3 linked regions of the Canis lupus familiaris genome follow. The protein of the gene in region 1 interacts with the protein of each later gene in a pairwise test. Links are inferred from orthologs where the notes say so. Each region holds a gene or a part of one and is shown in the gene's direction. Other genes may lie near its edges.

Region 1 (5,924 bases):
ATAGAGAAGTTCTCTAAGCTTGAGTTTTACCCTCTTTAAATTGAACAGAATACTATTCCCTTCTTACTTGCTTTTAATAATAAATCCTGGTAGTGATAAGTGAGGCTTTCCTTATTTTCTTTTTTTCCATAGTGTATAAAATGCAAGTCATTATCAGTTATCCTTAGACCTTGTGTTGAGCACTTTCAGCTCCTGATCACTGATAGGAAATGGAAGATGTTGAAACATGATGGAGAAAAGGCACGAGATTCTCAAAGTATGGTAGAGCAAGTCACCTTTTGCCGGAATACTCAGTGGCTCCTATCACAGCCAGCAGCAGGCTGTGTCCCCAGGGAAAAGCCTTTGGAAGACCCAGAATGGGGAGCTTATCTGGACCACCCCAATGGTCCACCTGCCTCTCTATGCCCAGGTTCACATTTTCTTCTTCCATTCCCACTCAGTCTAGAGGCCAGAGTGTCTATGACTTGCTCACCCTCTCCTCTCCTAGTAGAAGAGACTACAGAGAGGGAGCCAGCTCGCTGACACAGAGCCAGCTTTTCCTCTTGTCCTAAAACAGCATTGAGATGAATTCGATATTAGAAGGTTTGGTTTCATGGAATCATGGGATAATTTAGTCTTTTCAATCCAAATTCAGCAGTAGCCCATATTTTTCTAGATATTTAAAAAAATGATAATGAAAACAAAAATGGGGACAAATCGGGTGGAGTTTTTATTGGTAAGAAGTATAATTAGGTATAAAACCAACTGGGGTTGGTAACAGTGACAGGAACCAGAACTCCCAGCAGGGCAGGAGAATGATCTTTACCAAAGGGAAGGGCCAAAGGAAAGGAAGGTGGGGACCTGAGAAGGGAGGGGTGTTGTTAACACTCCCTTCACAGGGCTCTCAGAAGGGGCCAGAAGACGAAATTTACAGCATAACCGGACAGTCCTGAGCAGCCTGCTGGGGTTTCCCATTTGGTGTCTAAACCCTCACGGGTGCAGCATGGCTTGGGACTGTCAGTCCAAGGGGACCATACAGGGAGGGAGCCTCTGGTGAACCACAAGATGCAGGAGAGCACAGAAGGGCTCTGCTTGCTGGACAGTGCAGAGAAATGCCTCACAGAGTAACCACCCCCTCCACAGTGTGACACACTGCTGTCCAGACTCACAGAATTGCAGGAAAAGTACAAGGCCAGCCAGAAGGAGATGGCGCAGCTGCAGATGGAGCAGTGTGAGCTCCTGGAGGATCAGAGGAGGATGCAGGAGGAGCAGGGGCAGCTGCAGGAAGAGCTGCACAGGCTCACGTTCCCACTGCCCAAAACTGGTCTCATCCCTAAGGTAACCCCAGCCAGGGAATGGCTGCTGACTAGGGAGAAGCTGCTTCGAGAAGCTTCTGAGGTGTGACTATACTTGGGGAAAAGATCAGGGTGGGGATCAAACCTTTTCTCAGTCAGCCATGGCTTACTTTGGTCACTGACTCTTCAAACCAAAAAATTGAGTATAGCTGAGTAGGTTTTAAATCTTAAAATACATATTGTACTCTGGAACCTGCCCAGCATTTTCTCCTTAGATTTTTAGTCCAACTGGATAAAATATACTCTGAGAGAACTTTGTAAACTACAGAATGCCTGCACCATACGAGATCATGACTACTCACCTAGCAGGTCTCCACAGAAGGACCACTCCCCCACCACACCAACCCCATCCCAGATGGCTGTTCAGAGCCAACCCAGAGACTCCTAAGGGAAGGGTCCCCAGCAGGAAGGAGGAGGCATGGGTCTTCTATGTAGCTACCACGGTTCCTGCCTGCTTCCTTCCCACTCCACCTTACAGAGTCAGGAGCTACTTACAAAGTTACAAGACCTGTGTGAACTACAGCTGCTCTACCAAGGTATGCAGGAAGAGCAGAAAAAACTGGTGCAGAATCAAGAGTGTGTGCTCAAAGAACAGTCAGAGCTGCATGAGGAGCTGCATCATTTCAAAGAGTCTCGTTTCCGGGATGTGTTGGAGAAGCCCGATGATTCCAAATCACCTAAGTCCTCCAAGTGTGGTCAGAACAAGGTAACCAGAACAAGAGGTGGGGAGACAGTTCCTGGGACAGCAGCATGGTAGGGAAGAGGTCTCCATGGAAGGGTCAAAGTCAGGAAGGCCTGTCTGGCCAAGTGTAAGAATGAGCCTGAGGCCCCCTCCTTCAGCCGTGCCCACCCACAGGCTCATTAAGATGTGGCTTTAGCTATGGCCTGAGGACCTCAATCAGGTACATGCTCAGTTGAAGTGCTGTGAACACTGAGAACTGGGGGTAACCCAGGAATCTAATCACTTGATAATTTGATGCAGCCCCTTCAACATCATTTTCCAGATTTAAAGTATCAATTTAGTGTTTGTCTGGATTCCTTGGGACTGACTCTGAGCATGTCATTCCTTTCTCATGAGCTGGTTGATAATTGAGCAGTATACTTTCCAGTGATCAAAATCTATCACTTTTTGGTGTTCTACCTGCCACAAATCTGGGGCCATTCATTTCCAAGGGAAGAATTCCTAGCATGTGGCATTCTTGGTACTGACCACATTATCTTCATTGGAACTTTGGTGGCAGTAAGAGCCATGTGATGGGGGTTAGACTAGAGAATCCATGCATCTCAAACACCAAGAAGGGGCCATGCCTCTGAGGTCACACTGGTGGAGACTTCTGCACAAGTCTCTTCAGGATTAAGGGATGCCTTTGGTCTGAGGTCTCAGGGTGAGCAGGGAAGAGCAGGTAGAGAGTTCCAATTTAGGCTAGCCCTATTCATTCAGATATTAGCCTAGATAGGGAGAACCAGGAAATTGCAGAAGTCCAAACAGATTTGGTCAGATTCCAAGGGCATCAGATTTCAGCATGGATAACACTGACCAGGAACCAGGTATAACTATTTCTTTAACTGATCAGATCTCACCCTGGGCATTAGCAGCCAAGAAGCCAGGCGCAGAGGGCCTGGGAAACATGCCCAGAGGCCAGATTCAGAATTGGGACAGGAGGTACAGGGACTTGTAGTGAGACCTTAATTCCAGGTCCACATCTTCTGAAGGAGGAATTCTTGTAGGCTCACATTGCTCACATTCAAGGCCAGGGCTGATTTTAGAATTGGGAATAGGGGAGGGGACTGAGCCCCAGGGTTAGGATATAATGGGTATATCCTGACTGAGAAGACGGGAGGGGAGGGAGGCAGAGTGTTCTTGATACTGACTCAGCTCTGCTGCATGGAGAGACGGATGTACCAGAGTTTAGAAACCAGCAGGAACGGGAGCCTGGGAACCATAAAATATCTGCCCTGGGAAGATTATCCCCAGTGTGAGAAACTGACATGTGCCAGTAGCTGCAGGCTGTTAAAGACCTAGGCCATGGTGAAATGAGTGTAGGTGTACGGGTCCCTGAAGTGCATCTCAGACATCTGTCCCAGGAAGGGTGCAGCTAGAAGGATGGCAGTATCTGGAGTGTTAGTAATGTCTCCCCACCCACTCCCGGCAGTCCAAGATGATCATCGCCCAGATTCAGGCTCTGCAGGTGCTGTATGAGGGGACTCAGACCGAGCAGGAGCTACTGCAGCAGGAGCAGGGAAGGCTCCTCGAGGAGCGGAAGAGGCTGCAGGCCGACCTACAGCTCTGCCTGGAAGAAATGCAGCTGCTCCAGGGCCAGTCCCCTTCCATAAAAATGAGCCTGGAGTCCTACAAGACCTACGGCGATATGGCGACTGTCAACGAGAACTGTCGCCGGAGTTATAGTAGCATTGATGACAGTGAGAGCTATCACAAGAGTTTTGGGAGCACTCAGGCCAGCAATGAGAGCTTTCTCAAGAGCTATGACAGCGGCTCCAGTGCCCATGAGAACTTTGAGAAGAGTTATTGCAGCAGCAGCAGCAGCAGCGTTACCTATAAGAAGAGTTACGGCAGCAGTAGTAGTTCTGACACCTGTTACAAGAGTTACATCAGCAGCACTGACGATGAGCTTGCTGGGCCTGAAGATACAGAGGTAAAAGTAGCCAAAGGAGAGGTCAGCCAGGGAGAGAAGTTTCTTGTCTTACTAAGAGATAAGTCACCAGTGAAGGGTGCAAGAAGTGAGGTGGGCAGCGGGGTCAGGGCTGAGCTGGGTCACTGGAAATGAACAAGGCACTCCACCTGTCTAATATGGAGATGCTCCCATCACAGCGATGGTGCTTTATGGGAGGAAATACAGAATTAGCCCCTGGGCAGCTTCAGATCCTTGCCGCCATTGTTCTGTACCCAGGTAAGGGCCTAGCAAAGAGAGTGGGGCGGAGGGCAGGTCCTCCCCTGGGTGCGGTCATTACTCCTCCACCCTCCGCAGCACTGTGAGGACATGGTTGCCAAGGTGGTGATCAAGCTGCAGGGGGTGCAGGCCATGTACCAGCTCAGCCAGGAGGAACATGATCGGCTGCAAGAGCAGATGAAAAAGCTGCTGGACAGGCAGAAAGAGCTGAAGGAAGAGCTGGACGCCTGTGAAAAGGAATTCAAGGAGTGCATAGAAAGCCTTGAGAAGCCCACTGCCTCCCCAAACGACAAGAATGAGGTAACTGCTATCTAGGAGGCCAGGTTTCTTCTAGGAATTCCTAGAGCCAGAGGAGGTCATAGGTCACAGCCATTTTGGAGAGACTGAGGAAAGAGGGCTGGGAGCTCACTGCTTGCTCTGCATAGTCGCCCCCTTCCTGGTCAGAGGAGCAGAGCAGGAGCTGCAGCCCATCAGCCCTGATGGACACTGCTCAGTGCTCACTGTGCTGAGAGTTACTCATCATCAAAACTCTGAATAGCTTTTCTCTTTGTCCTTTTACCATCTCTCTCCTTTGTAGGTCCCAGAACACTTCTGTGGAGTTGTATTTTTTCACCTTTAGTTATTTGGGGTCTCTTCAGCTAGATTGTGAGCACCTTGAGGATAGAGGCTTGCCTCCTTTCAGATCTCATTATGCCAAGAAGGGTGCTGTGCATCTGTGAGGGATGGGACAGAAGGCAGTCTTTCTAAACCCAGGAGTAGTCCACAGTCCAGCAGAGCTCACCATGTGCACACAGGAGAGTTCAGAGAGCAGCCAGCACGTGGGCCTAGGTTGCTTAGTATTGGTACCTACCAGGGCAACCAGAAGTGATGCCAGAAGTCAGGAAAGACAAAACCAGAAATTAGAGAGCAGCATTGGAATTTGCCTATGTTTCCAGGGTGAGGTGTAGGAGTCCAGGCACGCTCTCAGGAGTGGACCACACGGTTCCTTAGGTAGTTAATAGAGAAATAGCTTGGGCAAAGTAAGAGTTTCCATCAGAAAGATTATCTGTAATAAAGCCCCGAGGTTCAGAAAAGGTAGCCCTATAGTTCTTCCCCAGACAGGTCACAGTAAAAACATAACTTAAATCATCCTTTTTGGATCACGTTAGGTGTAAACCGTCAGGTACCTCATTCAGAGCCTATTTGTGAAACTGCAATAGAGACTCGTATCCTGCAGTTTAAAATTTCCTCTCGTCTACTCCCCCTTGGGCCTTGGCAAGGCACACACTGGGAGTGACCCCCAGGCAGGGCTCCAGCTGACTGACTAGGCCAGGCTGCGGCTGACTGGCCCTCTGCCCCCCAACCCCGGCAGATCAAAGAGCTGCAGACTAAGCTGCGGGAGCTGCAGCTACAGTACCAGGCGAGCATGGATGAGCAGGGCAGGCTTCTGGCAGTGCAGGAGCAGCTGGAGGGGCAGCTGCAGTGCTGCCAGGAAGAGCTCCGCCAGCTCAAAGAGAAGTCCTCTGTTACCAAAGAAACCAATGGGAAAAATGGCAATAAGAATATGAACAAAAATGCCAATGGGGTTAAAAATAAAAAGGTGACCATACCAAGCCTCGACTGTTCTGAGGGCAGCTATGAGAACGAAAAGGTGAGTAATAACCTTAGTAGCCAGATAAGCAGAAAGGCAGATGAGATCTTG
Region 2 (5,924 bases), on another chromosome or scaffold:
GTTGGCCGCAAGTTTTGGGCCTTGTCTCCAAACGGTAACTCCATAATCCCAAAAATCTGAAGAGGGACCCAGAAAAAAAAAAAAAAGTATATATATATATATATATATATATATAATGTATGTATTTTAACTTACTGGGACACAGATTTGGGGGTTGGAAAGAGTTAAGATTCAGGGTGCCGGTGAGGGTATAGTTGAATTCGTTAAATTTGGGATCAGCGTGCCAAGAACACACAGCCACTATTTTCTCACATGTTCTCACCACCTCCTTTGGGGTCTGCAGACCTTACAGAGAGGCAGACTTTGTGGCCCAGGTAGGATTTCTCCTTGCCTGCTTCATCTGTCTCTGAGGTGGGCAGAGTGGAAGGTCTTCCTGCCAGCCTGGACACGCTGGAGATCTCAGGCCTGGCCTGGTATAGTGGAGGCAGGTGCCCTACGCTGGGACCTTTGGGGATTGGGGTCAAGTGACAGGGGCACCCACTCAGGACCCCTGAAGCCCTGTTCTGGCTGGCTGGCACCTGCGCATGGGTTTTCTTCTATGGTGATTTCCAGGAGTACTGCTGAGGTCCCCAGAAGCTGGTGGGTTTTTTGGAGGGGGGCTGTGCCCCTCCCCACGGACCCTTTACAAAGCCCCAATCTCCCCCTGCCATTTGCATCCAAGATGGACTCTGCGCTGCCGCTCCTCAGGCTTCCTTGTCATCATCCCTCACGCCCTCCAGCCCTGCCTCCTGCTCGCGGGTTGCCAAGCCGCGGCCTGGCCGGCGGTGGCAGTGGCGGAGTTAGACAAAGCCCCCGCCTCCCCGCCGGAGAGCACACCCCCCCCCAGGCGCCCCAAGTGGCGGGAAGGCCGCCAGCTCCCCAGGCCCAGGCCGCTCTTTGTCTGGCGTGGGGGCGGGGAGCTGCGCCTGGCCCCAGGAGCTGCTGGCCTCTGCCAATCCCTCCCTCGGCTCGGGCCCTCCCTGGTCCCTGCACACTGCGTGCATTGTCTGTGATGCTCAGAGACTGTCGTGCTCACGCCCAGTCTGGTTTTCTCCCTGGCCTCCTGCAGCCTCATGCTCTGGCCCTCCCTGTGTCTGCCGAAGTGCGTGGGCATGAGTAGAACTCAGGGCCCTTCTGCCATCTCTCTCCAGGGCCACATCTCCCCCCCGCCTTTTCAACAAAGAGTAAGGGACTGGCACTGACACGGAATTGGGGTCACCTACCACATCACATGGTGATGGGAAAGGCAAGCCCCGAGCTATTACCCGACCCAAACCAGGAGATTTCTCCTCCCTCTCCCTTGGCCTCGCAAGACCTAACCCTTGCCCCATGGAAGAGTGGGATGTAGGCCTTTAGACATTGTGTTGGGAATCATTGCCCCAAACAGATAGAGAAACTGAGGCCCAGAGAGGGAAGGGCCTCATCCAAGGTCACACAGCCAGGAGTGGCACAGCCAGACCGCCTTCTGGTCCACGCCCTTGTCTGTAGGAGCTCAGATGGATGGGACTGGGAGGCAGGGAGGCAAGAAACCATGACAAGCAACAAGAGGTGAGGGCTAAGGATGGTGCAGGGAATGCACTCCTGAGTCCTGCTCCCCTCCTGCCTAGGAACTGGAATCTCCTAGACACTTTGGTGCTGTGCAGGGCTGCATACTCCTCCCCTGGTCTTGCATTCAGCAGCCTGGCCTTCCAGAGAGGTGTGATATCTTGGAGTGGTCAGGACTGGAACCCAGGTCTGGGGCTGCAAAGACCACATTCACTGCCCTCATCACAAGGTGCAGGGAGTTGGGGTCTGGCCGCTGTGGTGAGGGGTGCTTGGGGGGGCACCCACCCTGCTCCGTTCCTGTGCTCTGGCCACTGCACATCTGAGGTTGTTTTGGAGGGAGGTCACAGATGTGTTCCCAGTTCCTCCCCATGCTGACCAGTCTGCCCCTGCAGCACAGGTATATTCCCGTCCCCACTTCAAGGCCTGCTGTCTGTGCCTCAGAGTGCCCCAGGGGTGTGCCCACCTCCCAACTGGCAAAATCCAGTTGCCTCCCAGCTGGCAAAATCCCTGTTCCTGGCTGGGCACTCCCTATTTGATCCTAAACCTGGGCTCTGGGTTGGAGTGGGGGGAGGTGAGATCCATGACAGGCCCCGAAAGAAAGCAAGGAAGACATCTTGGGTACGAGCTGTCCCCAGCTCCTGGACAGAGGGATGGCTGTCGGGGTGCTAGCCTCTTCTGTGCCATGTGGCTCAGGGGAACACCCACCCTCGCCAGACTGTGTCTTTACAGTGAGGGGCTCCAGGGCTCCCCTAGGGCCCTTCCACTCCACCAGCCTGAGCTCCCGAGCCTCCTCCCTCCTTTTCCCCTCCCCTGCTCACACCAGATGAGCAGCTGGTCGGTTTGGCCAGCCTGGCACCAGCTGTCCATCCCCAGGGCCAAGTCTGCGTAGTCTGCCGTGTGCATGAGAGACCGTTTGGCTCTGGGGGCGGCAGGCAGAGGGGGAGCTGCTCCTCGACTGGGCGTGGAGGCAGGCGGGCGGCTGCTGAGGAGGGCTAGGTAAATTCTCCATGGTTACCGCTGTTTGTAATTCTGCAGGACATCCTCTACCCGCTAATGGCCACTTGGACGCCATTATGGGTCTGCAGGCTTCCAGCTACTGAGCTGGAGCCGGGAAATGCCCTGCTGGTGACTCCCCACCCCCATCCAAGAGACTCCATTCTTAGCCGGGCCCTGTCCCCATATGGTCCCTCACAGCTGAGGGACGGTGTGTCTGAGTGCAGTCCCTAAGCGGGGCCTTAGCCCTCCCCTCTTTGGATGTGATCCATCCAGGCGTAGAATCCGACAGTCGCCTCTTTGGAGGGCTGTAGAATCCCGTCGCCTCTTTGGAGGGGCTCAGGGAGATTGAGAGGCTCCTGAGGACCCCCCAGAGAGACTGATATATTTCAGATTCCTGACTTCGTGTCCAGTGAACCAATCTCTGGCCAGGGTTAGGTCTCAGATGCTCTGAACGCCCTGTCTTCTTACCGTATGCCTGGCAGAGATTTGGGCGGAGAGGATATGGAGCAGCCTCAGTAGCAGGTGGGCTCTTGTGGCAGTGATTTGGGTCCAGGTCATCCATCTCTGGGGAACGGGACCCCGAGAGAAGGGACTAGCAAGGATTAGGCCAAGAACAGCAGTAGACTTCATCGTTGCTACCAGTCCAGACTGCGCAGATGGGGAGGAGTTCTGTGATTGATGAGCGATGTCTGCCGTGATGGTGGATATGAAGAGCAGTGACCTGTTAGCTCCCTTTTACTATTGTCTGGGCTGAGCATCGGCCATCACCAAACAGAGGACAGGAGAGGGTCTCCGTCCTATGAAGACGAAAGGCTGCTGTTTGTTGTGGGTCCCAGGCAGGGGGTCTCTGCTCTGTGTACAACTATATGATCCCTGATGCTTTGGTTCTCCTCCACAGCTGGGAGTGTCCACCCGCCCTCCACCAGTATGGCCACATCCTCCCAGTACCGCCAGCTGCTGAGTGACTACGGGCCACCATCTCTAGGTTATACCCAGGTACAGCCTTGGGCGGGGATTGGGGGGCTCTGGGGCTGGTCTGGGCATGGAGGGGACATGCTTCTCACCCTCCAGGGAGGGGAGAGAGCTGGTGAGAACAACCAAGGAGTAGAGGTGATGGGATGAAACAGTGTCTGAACTTCCTGAAGCTCCGGCCCTGGGTGGTACATATTCAAGCCTTGAGGCATCAGAACAGAGGAGTGGCAGGGTGTTTCATGGGGACACCAAGAGATGGGGGACAGGGAGACCTGAGTGCCACAGGTCCTGTTGGGGCCACCACCCACATGTGTCCCTATGGTGGGGGGTGACGGGAGTCTCTGTACCGCATTCCTGAGGAAGTAAGGCCTGACCTGGGCCCTGGATCTGAGCCGGGGCAGAGGAGAGGGGAGCCCCGTTCCCACTCACTCCCCACAAGGTCACCACCCCAGCATAGAGGGGGACAGGACCCATCTCTTCCGGAGCCCAGATGGGCTTTGTCAGGAACTGGTGGCCCTGGAGCCAAGCTGCAGGGGGACTCTATACGGTTCTGCTACCTACAAGACTGACCCCTGCTTGGCAGCCTTGCAGAGATCTGTTCCTCACTGGCAAGTGGGGTCGGCACTGGCCCTGGCCTTACTGCCTGTCACGGGTGGAGGGACCCGGCCAGGCCCCCGCCTCAGTGCCTGCCAGCCTGTCCTGGGGTTCTCTGCCACAATTGGAACGTGGCCACCTTCTGAGGTTGCCATGGAGGCTGTCTCTGGGAGTGGGGGATGGCTGGCCATGCCCCACCAGGCCCTGCTGTCCCAGGAGCGGGAGCGCCAGAAGAAGCAGCGGTGGCGGGAAGACCACCAGGCCAAGAGGCGGCACTGGGAGGGCACTGAGGAGCTGGGCAAGGACAGGAGAAAGGCCCTGGAGGCCAGGAGACAGCGGCAACAGAGGAGGAAGGAGCAGGCGAGGGCCTTGTGGGGGGGCTGCGGGGACCCAGCCTCACTCATTGGGTGCATACTTGGGCCGTGGAGGGGGAGGGCTTATAGAAAAACAGGTTTTTTGGGGTGGGCCCTGCTGGCAGGGGGAGGATGGGTAAGTGGAAACACATTCTGTCCAGATGGTCTTTGGCAATTATTTATAGTTCTCCAGACCCCACGGTATGGCCCACAGCTTGTCCACTGTCATTCCCCTGGGATGGTGCATCCACCTGGATCCTAGGAAGCACCCAGTACTTGCTGAGACAAACCAGTCCTTTTACTCATTTAAGATGATTAAAACCTTCTGGAGGCTGCTAGTGGTTTCCTTGAGTGTAGGAGGACAGTAGAAAGGCCCAGGTTTCTGGTCAGTGGTTATTTCTCAGCGTGTGGCCGGTTCCAGCAGAGGCAGAAGCTCTGGGAACCTAGGCCAGGCTGCCCTGCCTCCAGCCACTGCCTCTCGGTGGGCTTCTCCCTGTGCCCTGCCCTCGCTGTGGCTGGCATGTGGTAGGGTCCTGACCGTGGCCTTAGGATCAGGATAGGGTTCAATCCATTTAAACTTCTTCTGATTTTAGGGAACTGGGAACAGCCAGGTACCCCAAAGCAAATATGCTGAGCTGCTGGCCATCATTGAAGAGTTGGGGAAAGAGATTAGACCCACCTATGCAGGGAGCAAGAGCGCCATGGAGAGACTAAAACGAGGTAAGTAGCGGGATCCAGACACCCCCTGCTGGGTGCTGCCTCCCTGCTGGGTGCTAACTGTTGTGAGAGGTTTCCAGAGGGGGGCGTGAATGCTCTATGCCCCGTGGGGCTCCTGTTTGGTTAATCTGTGGAAGCATCAGCAGGGGCAGGAATGGGCCGGTCATGGGGTGTAGACTGTCCTTGGGATCTGACGGGAAGGCTTTGCGTGCTCCTTGGGAAGGTCCATGGGCTTTAAGAACAGAATCTTTACAGGCCAGATCCTGTAGCTTTCTCTGTTGCTTGCTCTGCTCCTGTTGGCTGGTACTGGTCCCAGGGAGCCGCAGGAGGACAAATGCACCAGGCTTCCTTCTCTGAGTGGGTCAGGGACAAGAAGTAGCCAGGTCCTGGGTCCTGTGTTGCCCTCTGTTGTCAGCTCTTTGGAGCGGAGCCCAAGAGGCCAATGGGTCTATCTTAGTCTGGGAAGGGAGAGCAGGAACACTGAAATTCCTTCATGATTGAGGATGGAAGGGGGGGTAGGAATATGGTGTCACAGAAAACCAGTGACTCATGTGAAGATGTGACTGACCAGCTGATTCCAGGGGGAGGTGAAATCGGCTGCTACCTCAGGAAGTAAATGGGGTGGAGGGAAGAAGATGATTTCTGTTTTAGAAGGTGGCAATTCGGAGCAGCAGTGGCCTAGGTACGAATTTAATTTCAGAAAGGATCTGGCGTTTATTCAGAAGTTTGGAGAGGCAAGTCTGAAGTTAACCTGGGATGTAAAGAGGG
Region 3 (5,073 bases), on another chromosome or scaffold:
ACCAGCCGCTCTCCTCCAGCTCCTGCCTGCAGCCCAACCACCGCTCAACGGTACCCTCAGCAATTCCAGGGACCTTGCTTTCCTCTGAGGTCCCACCTTCTCTACCGTCTGACCCACCTTTCTTGGTTTCTCTCTACAGAAACGGAAGGTGGAGGTGGTTTCACCAGCAACTCCAGTGCCCAGCGAGACAGCCCCAGCTTCAGTTTTTCCCCAGGTGAGTCCCCCAAACCCTTTTTTTCTTCCTCTTGTCTACTCTCTGGCAGCCCCGATCAGGCTCCTCTCACAACCCTCCTTTCTTGTTCTCATTATTTTACCTACAGAATGGATCGGCCCGTAGGGCAGTGGCAGCTCAGCCAGGACGGAAGCGAAAATCAAATTGCTTGGGCACTGACGAGGTAGGTCTGAGGAAGAGGGAAGCTAGGTGAAAAGGAGGAAATATAGGTAGCACAGAGAGTTTACTGATGGGTTTAAAAATAAACAAGAAGGGGCACCTGGCTGAGTCAGAAGAGTATGCCACTCTCGATCTTGGGGTTGTGAGTTCGAGCCCCACCTTGGGTGGAGATTATTAAAAAATAAATAAACTCGGGCAGTCCCGATGGCCCAGCGGTTTGGCGCCGCCTTTATCCCGCGGTATGACCCTGGAGACCCAGGATCGAGTCCCACGTCGGGTTCCCTGCATGGAGCCCGCTTCTCCCACTGCCTGTGTGTCTGCCTCTCTCTCTCTGTGTCTGTCATGAATAAATAAATAAAATCTTTAAAAATAGGGCAGCCCGAGTGGCTCAGCGGTTTAGCACTGTCTTCAGCCCAGGGTGTGATCCTGGAGACCGGCATCAAGTCCCATGTCGGGCTCCCTACATGGAGCCTGCTTCTCCCTCTGCCTATGTCTCTGCTTGTCTCTCTGTCTCATGAATAAATAAAATCTTAAAGAAAAAAAAAAACTTTAAAAATACATAAATAAGTAAACTTAAAAAAATAAACAAGAGGTGGTAGGCAGTGATGGTTTTTGGCAGGATTAGGAGCCAGGCAAAGCTGATTCAGATCAGTCATTGGTGATCTTTTTCAAAGTGCAATTGATAATTTACCTAGTTTCCCTTCCCTTATCTGGAAAGTGGGGAATACAATGTAGTACCAGCCTTTTTCTTCCTCTGCCATAGAGTTGTTGTTACACTTTGAAAATAAGGAAAGCTATGTAAGGGTTGTGTGAGCTGTCGGGTGTCCTGCTTGAGCTGTCTTCTGTAACCTGGTGTTTTCCACTGGGCCTGGGCAGGATTCCCAGGACAGCTCAGATGGAATACCGTCCGCTCCACGCATGACTGGCAGCTTGGTGTCTGACCGCAGCCACGACGACATTGTCACCCGGATGAAGAACATTGAGTGTATCGAGCTGGGCCGGCACCGCCTGAAGCCGTGGTACTTCTCCCCATACCCACAGGAACTTACCACATTGCCCGTCCTCTACCTCTGCGAGTTCTGCCTCAAATACGGCCGTAGTCTCAAGTGTCTGCAGCGTCACTTGGTATGAAGGGTCCAAGGAGGTTGCTTTACTACCATCCCCCACCCTGTCCCTGCCTCTGATCCTCCTCTCTTCCTCAGACCAAGTGTGACCTGCGACACCCCCCAGGCAATGAGATTTACCGCAAGGGTACCATCTCTTTCTTTGAGATTGATGGACGGAAGAACAAGGTCTGTGGCTGAGGGGCAGTGGGGAGTCATTGGCACTGGTGGTCTGGGGGAAGTTAAACGAGCAGCTTTTTCCTGCTCAGGAAAATACTAGGCAGTCTGGCCAACAGATTAGCTCATTCCATTTTTATTGAGTTTCTGCTGTGAGGTAGTTAGTGGGAGGTATAAAGATGACCAGTAATTAGAATCTTTGAGTTCACAGTTCATGGCAAAAACAGATCTGCCAACATCCACTCAGATCCCAGGGATAAGTGTCATGAAACAAAGGATGGGTTATCAGGACCCAGAGGTAGCCAGCAGTTTCACATAGGAGATGATCTTTGATCCTTAACATGAAGGATAAGATAGGTAAGGGAAGCCCAAGGAGTGGGGTTCTGAAGGGCAGTCGTGGATGTACAGATGGTGGGAAAGGTAAAGATCATTCTGGCTGAGAAGCAGAGAGGATGAGGCAAGGCTGTTCCAAGATACAGAGCTCAGGTGGGGAGAAGGTGGCCAGTTGGGGGAGGAGTAGGGGTCACTGCAGGTTTTGGGCTTCAAACCTGCCTTAGTCTGTGGGAAGGAAGAAGGGAGTAATCTGGACCGTTAAGACTGTGGGACCATTCCTGGGGCAAAGAGGGGGCAGTAAGGGAGAAGCAGGGCATCTTGAATTACAGGGTAGAGCTCTGGCCTGGGTGCTGAGGAAGCTCAAGGGAAGGAGGCTGCTTTCACTACTGTTCTGTGTGGACTTGGGCATCCTGATGGCCCAGCATCTGGCTAAAAAGTCATGCCTCATATGCAGAAAATGTGTATAGAGGTAAAGCAAAGCAGCAAGATGAATCCTTTTGGTGGGGAGACCCCTAAGGCAGTTACTTTCAGTTTCAGAACACCTGATCTCCATTGTAGGTTAGGAGATCAGTCTCCAGTATGTGTGACTGGAGGCGGGAGAGTTTTGTGGTTTTTATTTTTTATTTTTTTTTATTTTTATTTTTTTAGTTTTGTGGTTTTTAAAAGGTAGATTCCTAAGACTGTCACCAGGGTAGAGGTCCTCTCCTAAGCCTTGGCAGTGTCTTTCTAGACATGCCACAACCTACTGACTTTTGTTACTGCAGCAGAGAGCAGTGGAAACCCCCCAGACAAGACTTAGGGGGAGGTATGGGGAACAGGGGTAAACTTGCCCAGCTCACCAGCAAGACAGGAGGTCAGACACTATCACAGAGCTGGTACATGGGCTCCTTGACTCTGAGAATTAGCTCTGCCTGAGTAGGAGGGACAGCCTAATAGAACGGGTCAGGTGCCAGGGAGGAAGACTCATCATCTATCAGCCCTGGGTAAAGAAACCAAATGACCACATTTAAGACAGGGTACCCAGAGTGGTGACACGCCTTTTCCTTTGCAGAGTTATTCCCAGAACCTGTGTCTTTTGGCCAAGTGTTTCCTCGACCACAAGACATTGTACTATGATACAGATCCCTTCCTCTTCTATGTCATGACAGAGTATGATTGCAAGGGCTTCCACATCGTCGGCTACTTCTCCAAGGTGAGTGCTCATCCAGATCATCTCTTGGCCCTGCCCTGAGCTGTGTCCCCTCCTCACTCACCTTCCTCCCCTTTCCAGGAAAAGGAATCCACAGAAGACTACAATGTGGCCTGCATCCTGACCCTGCCTCCCTACCAGCGCCGGGGCTACGGCAAGCTGCTGATCGAGTTCAGTGAGTAGTACCTTTGCTCCCGGCCAGGGGCCCCGGGGTGGGTACATGCGGGCCCAGGCTCAGTGCCAGTGCTGCCATTGTGCCTCCCTTGTAGACAAGCTAGGTTGCTATGATTGTTAACCCTGCTGTCACCAGGGTAGCTGGCCAGAAATAAAGGTGGGACTCTCCCAAGGCTTTCTCCATTCTCAGGGCAACTACCCTGCTTGTCTGGGCTAGGTTTTCAGCTCCTCACTCTTCCTTGGGTGAGGTTCTAAGCACCACCCAACTTTTCACAAATCTGACTCATATGCTCCCATCCAGGGAGCCATCAGCAGAAACCAGGTGAGCCACTGTTGCTCATCTGCCTGGTTCTGTGCCACCATAGAAATTCCTAAGTGAGGACCAGTGCTTCATATGCCACCATACAAATTCCTGAGTGAGGACCAGTGCTTCATTATCCCAGCTGTAACCTGAGCCTTGCAGATAGTGGATGCTCAAAATGCTAAAGTGATGTTAACTCAGCAAAAATAAGGAAGCACTGATTTGTGTGGATTTGGTCTCTGCTCCTTGGATTCAGGCAGGTCAGTCTCTTAAAGCCCACAAGGGACTCTGCCCCTCATCATCCGTGAACTCTTCTATGTCCCCCACCCGCAAGGCCCCCTTTTGCTTCCCAGCATCTTACATCACTCCACTCAACTCACCACTCACTGAACCCTTGGGATAGTTAAGTTCTGACCTGAGAGACAGGAGGGAGCCTTAGCTGTTTGGTGAAGTCACAGTGGCTTGACTTGATAAGGTCATGATCCATTTGAGTTATTTTATTAATAGAATGATGCCAAGATGGGGTCACATTCTCAGGAAGCCCTCAGCCTGATATGTGGGCGGATACTTAAAATGAATCCAAGCCTTGAAGCTCAGACCTCCATGGAGATAGGATGTGGGCAAGGACACCAATGTGATGTGCTCACTTCTGCCCAGCAGGAGCAGACAGGTGCACTGGGAGTGCCCATTCCGGGCAGTTCTTGAGGGCAGGTGGATGTTCACTGGGGAGGGGCCAGGAGCTCCTTGCAGCTGGGGAGGCTGATGTGGCAGGATCCCACATGCACTGGCAGGCCCAGCAAAGTCAAGTAGGGACCCAGGTGTGCTCCCTTCCTCTTCCAGGCTTCCTTTCTCTAAAGCAGGAGCTTTTCTGTCCCTCTCCCCAGCAGGCTGCTTGGTGGAAGTCACAGAAGATTGGGCAAGACTAGCTGATAAAGATTGGGAGGGGTAGGCAAAAAGGGCTGTGAGCCTACATAGCTGTGACTGAGGGTGAAGAAGGGCTTATAGAGGTAATGAAGGACACCCCAGGACCCTGAGGGAGAGAATGAAGACTCTGCCAAGAGACACGAAGCCATATAGGATTTTGCACAGCCTGAGGGGCTCCCTAGGAACTGCCTGCTAGTGCCCAGTAATCAGCAGGGTAGAGGAGGACAGAGCAGTCGGAGAGTGCCTCTGGAGAGGTGAGTTACCTGCTGTGGAATGGCCGCCTTCTGACCTGGGAAGTACATTAGTGCCTCTCCTTGCTTCTTATCAACACCTAGTCAGGCCAGCCTGGTCCTGGAGCAGCCAATGCTCCCCAGGTCACAGCTAGGGGGACTGACTTGACTGCAAATCCAGACATCCTGAGGCCCAGACCACACGTGGGGGCTGCCTTCCCTTCTCACATACCCAGGAGATATGGTCTGGA

What was found. The genes of interacting proteins can lie anywhere in the genome.
Region 2: the proteins of CCDC136 (region 1) and CDK2AP1 interact in binary tests that used the Homo sapiens proteins (3 or more experiments, as listed by UniProt). The two-hybrid records come from large-scale screens. The link is inferred for Canis lupus familiaris from reciprocal best matches to the Homo sapiens genes CCDC136 and CDK2AP1.
Region 3: the proteins of CCDC136 (region 1) and KAT5 interact in binary tests that used the Homo sapiens proteins (3 or more experiments, as listed by UniProt). The two-hybrid records come from large-scale screens. The link is inferred for Canis lupus familiaris from reciprocal best matches to the Homo sapiens genes CCDC136 and KAT5.

The regions. Positions count from the first base shown.
Region 1 is NC_049235.1:7,691,121-7,697,044, reverse strand, and holds part of CCDC136 (coiled-coil domain-containing protein 136), read left to right. Parts: intron 1-1,122; coding exon 1,123-1,317; intron 1,318-1,812; coding exon 1,813-2,040; intron 2,041-3,487; coding exon 3,488-3,988; intron 3,989-4,321; coding exon 4,322-4,543; intron 4,544-5,594; coding exon 5,595-5,873; intron 5,874-5,924. UniProt on the Homo sapiens protein: May play a role in acrosome formation in spermatogenesis and in fertilization.
Region 2 is NC_049247.1:6,513,191-6,519,114, forward strand, and holds part of CDK2AP1 (cyclin-dependent kinase 2-associated protein 1), read left to right. Parts: intron 1-2,988; exon of another isoform or gene 2,989-3,317; intron 3,318-3,418; coding exon 3,419-3,516; intron 3,517-4,062; exon of another isoform or gene 4,063-4,215; intron 4,216-5,032; coding exon 5,033-5,159; intron 5,160-5,924. UniProt on the Homo sapiens protein: Inhibitor of cyclin-dependent kinase CDK2. Also acts as a component of the histone deacetylase NuRD complex which participates in the remodeling of chromatin.
Region 3 is NC_049239.1:52,002,642-52,007,714, reverse strand, and holds part of KAT5 (histone acetyltransferase KAT5), read left to right. Parts: coding exon 1-50; intron 51-139; coding exon 140-214; intron 215-320; coding exon 321-395; intron 396-1,267; coding exon 1,268-1,516; intron 1,517-1,593; coding exon 1,594-1,683; intron 1,684-3,055; coding exon 3,056-3,196; intron 3,197-3,274; coding exon 3,275-3,368; intron 3,369-4,143; exon of another isoform or gene 4,144-5,073. UniProt on the Homo sapiens protein: Catalytic subunit of the NuA4 histone acetyltransferase complex, a multiprotein complex involved in transcriptional activation of select genes principally by acetylation of nucleosomal histones H2A and H4.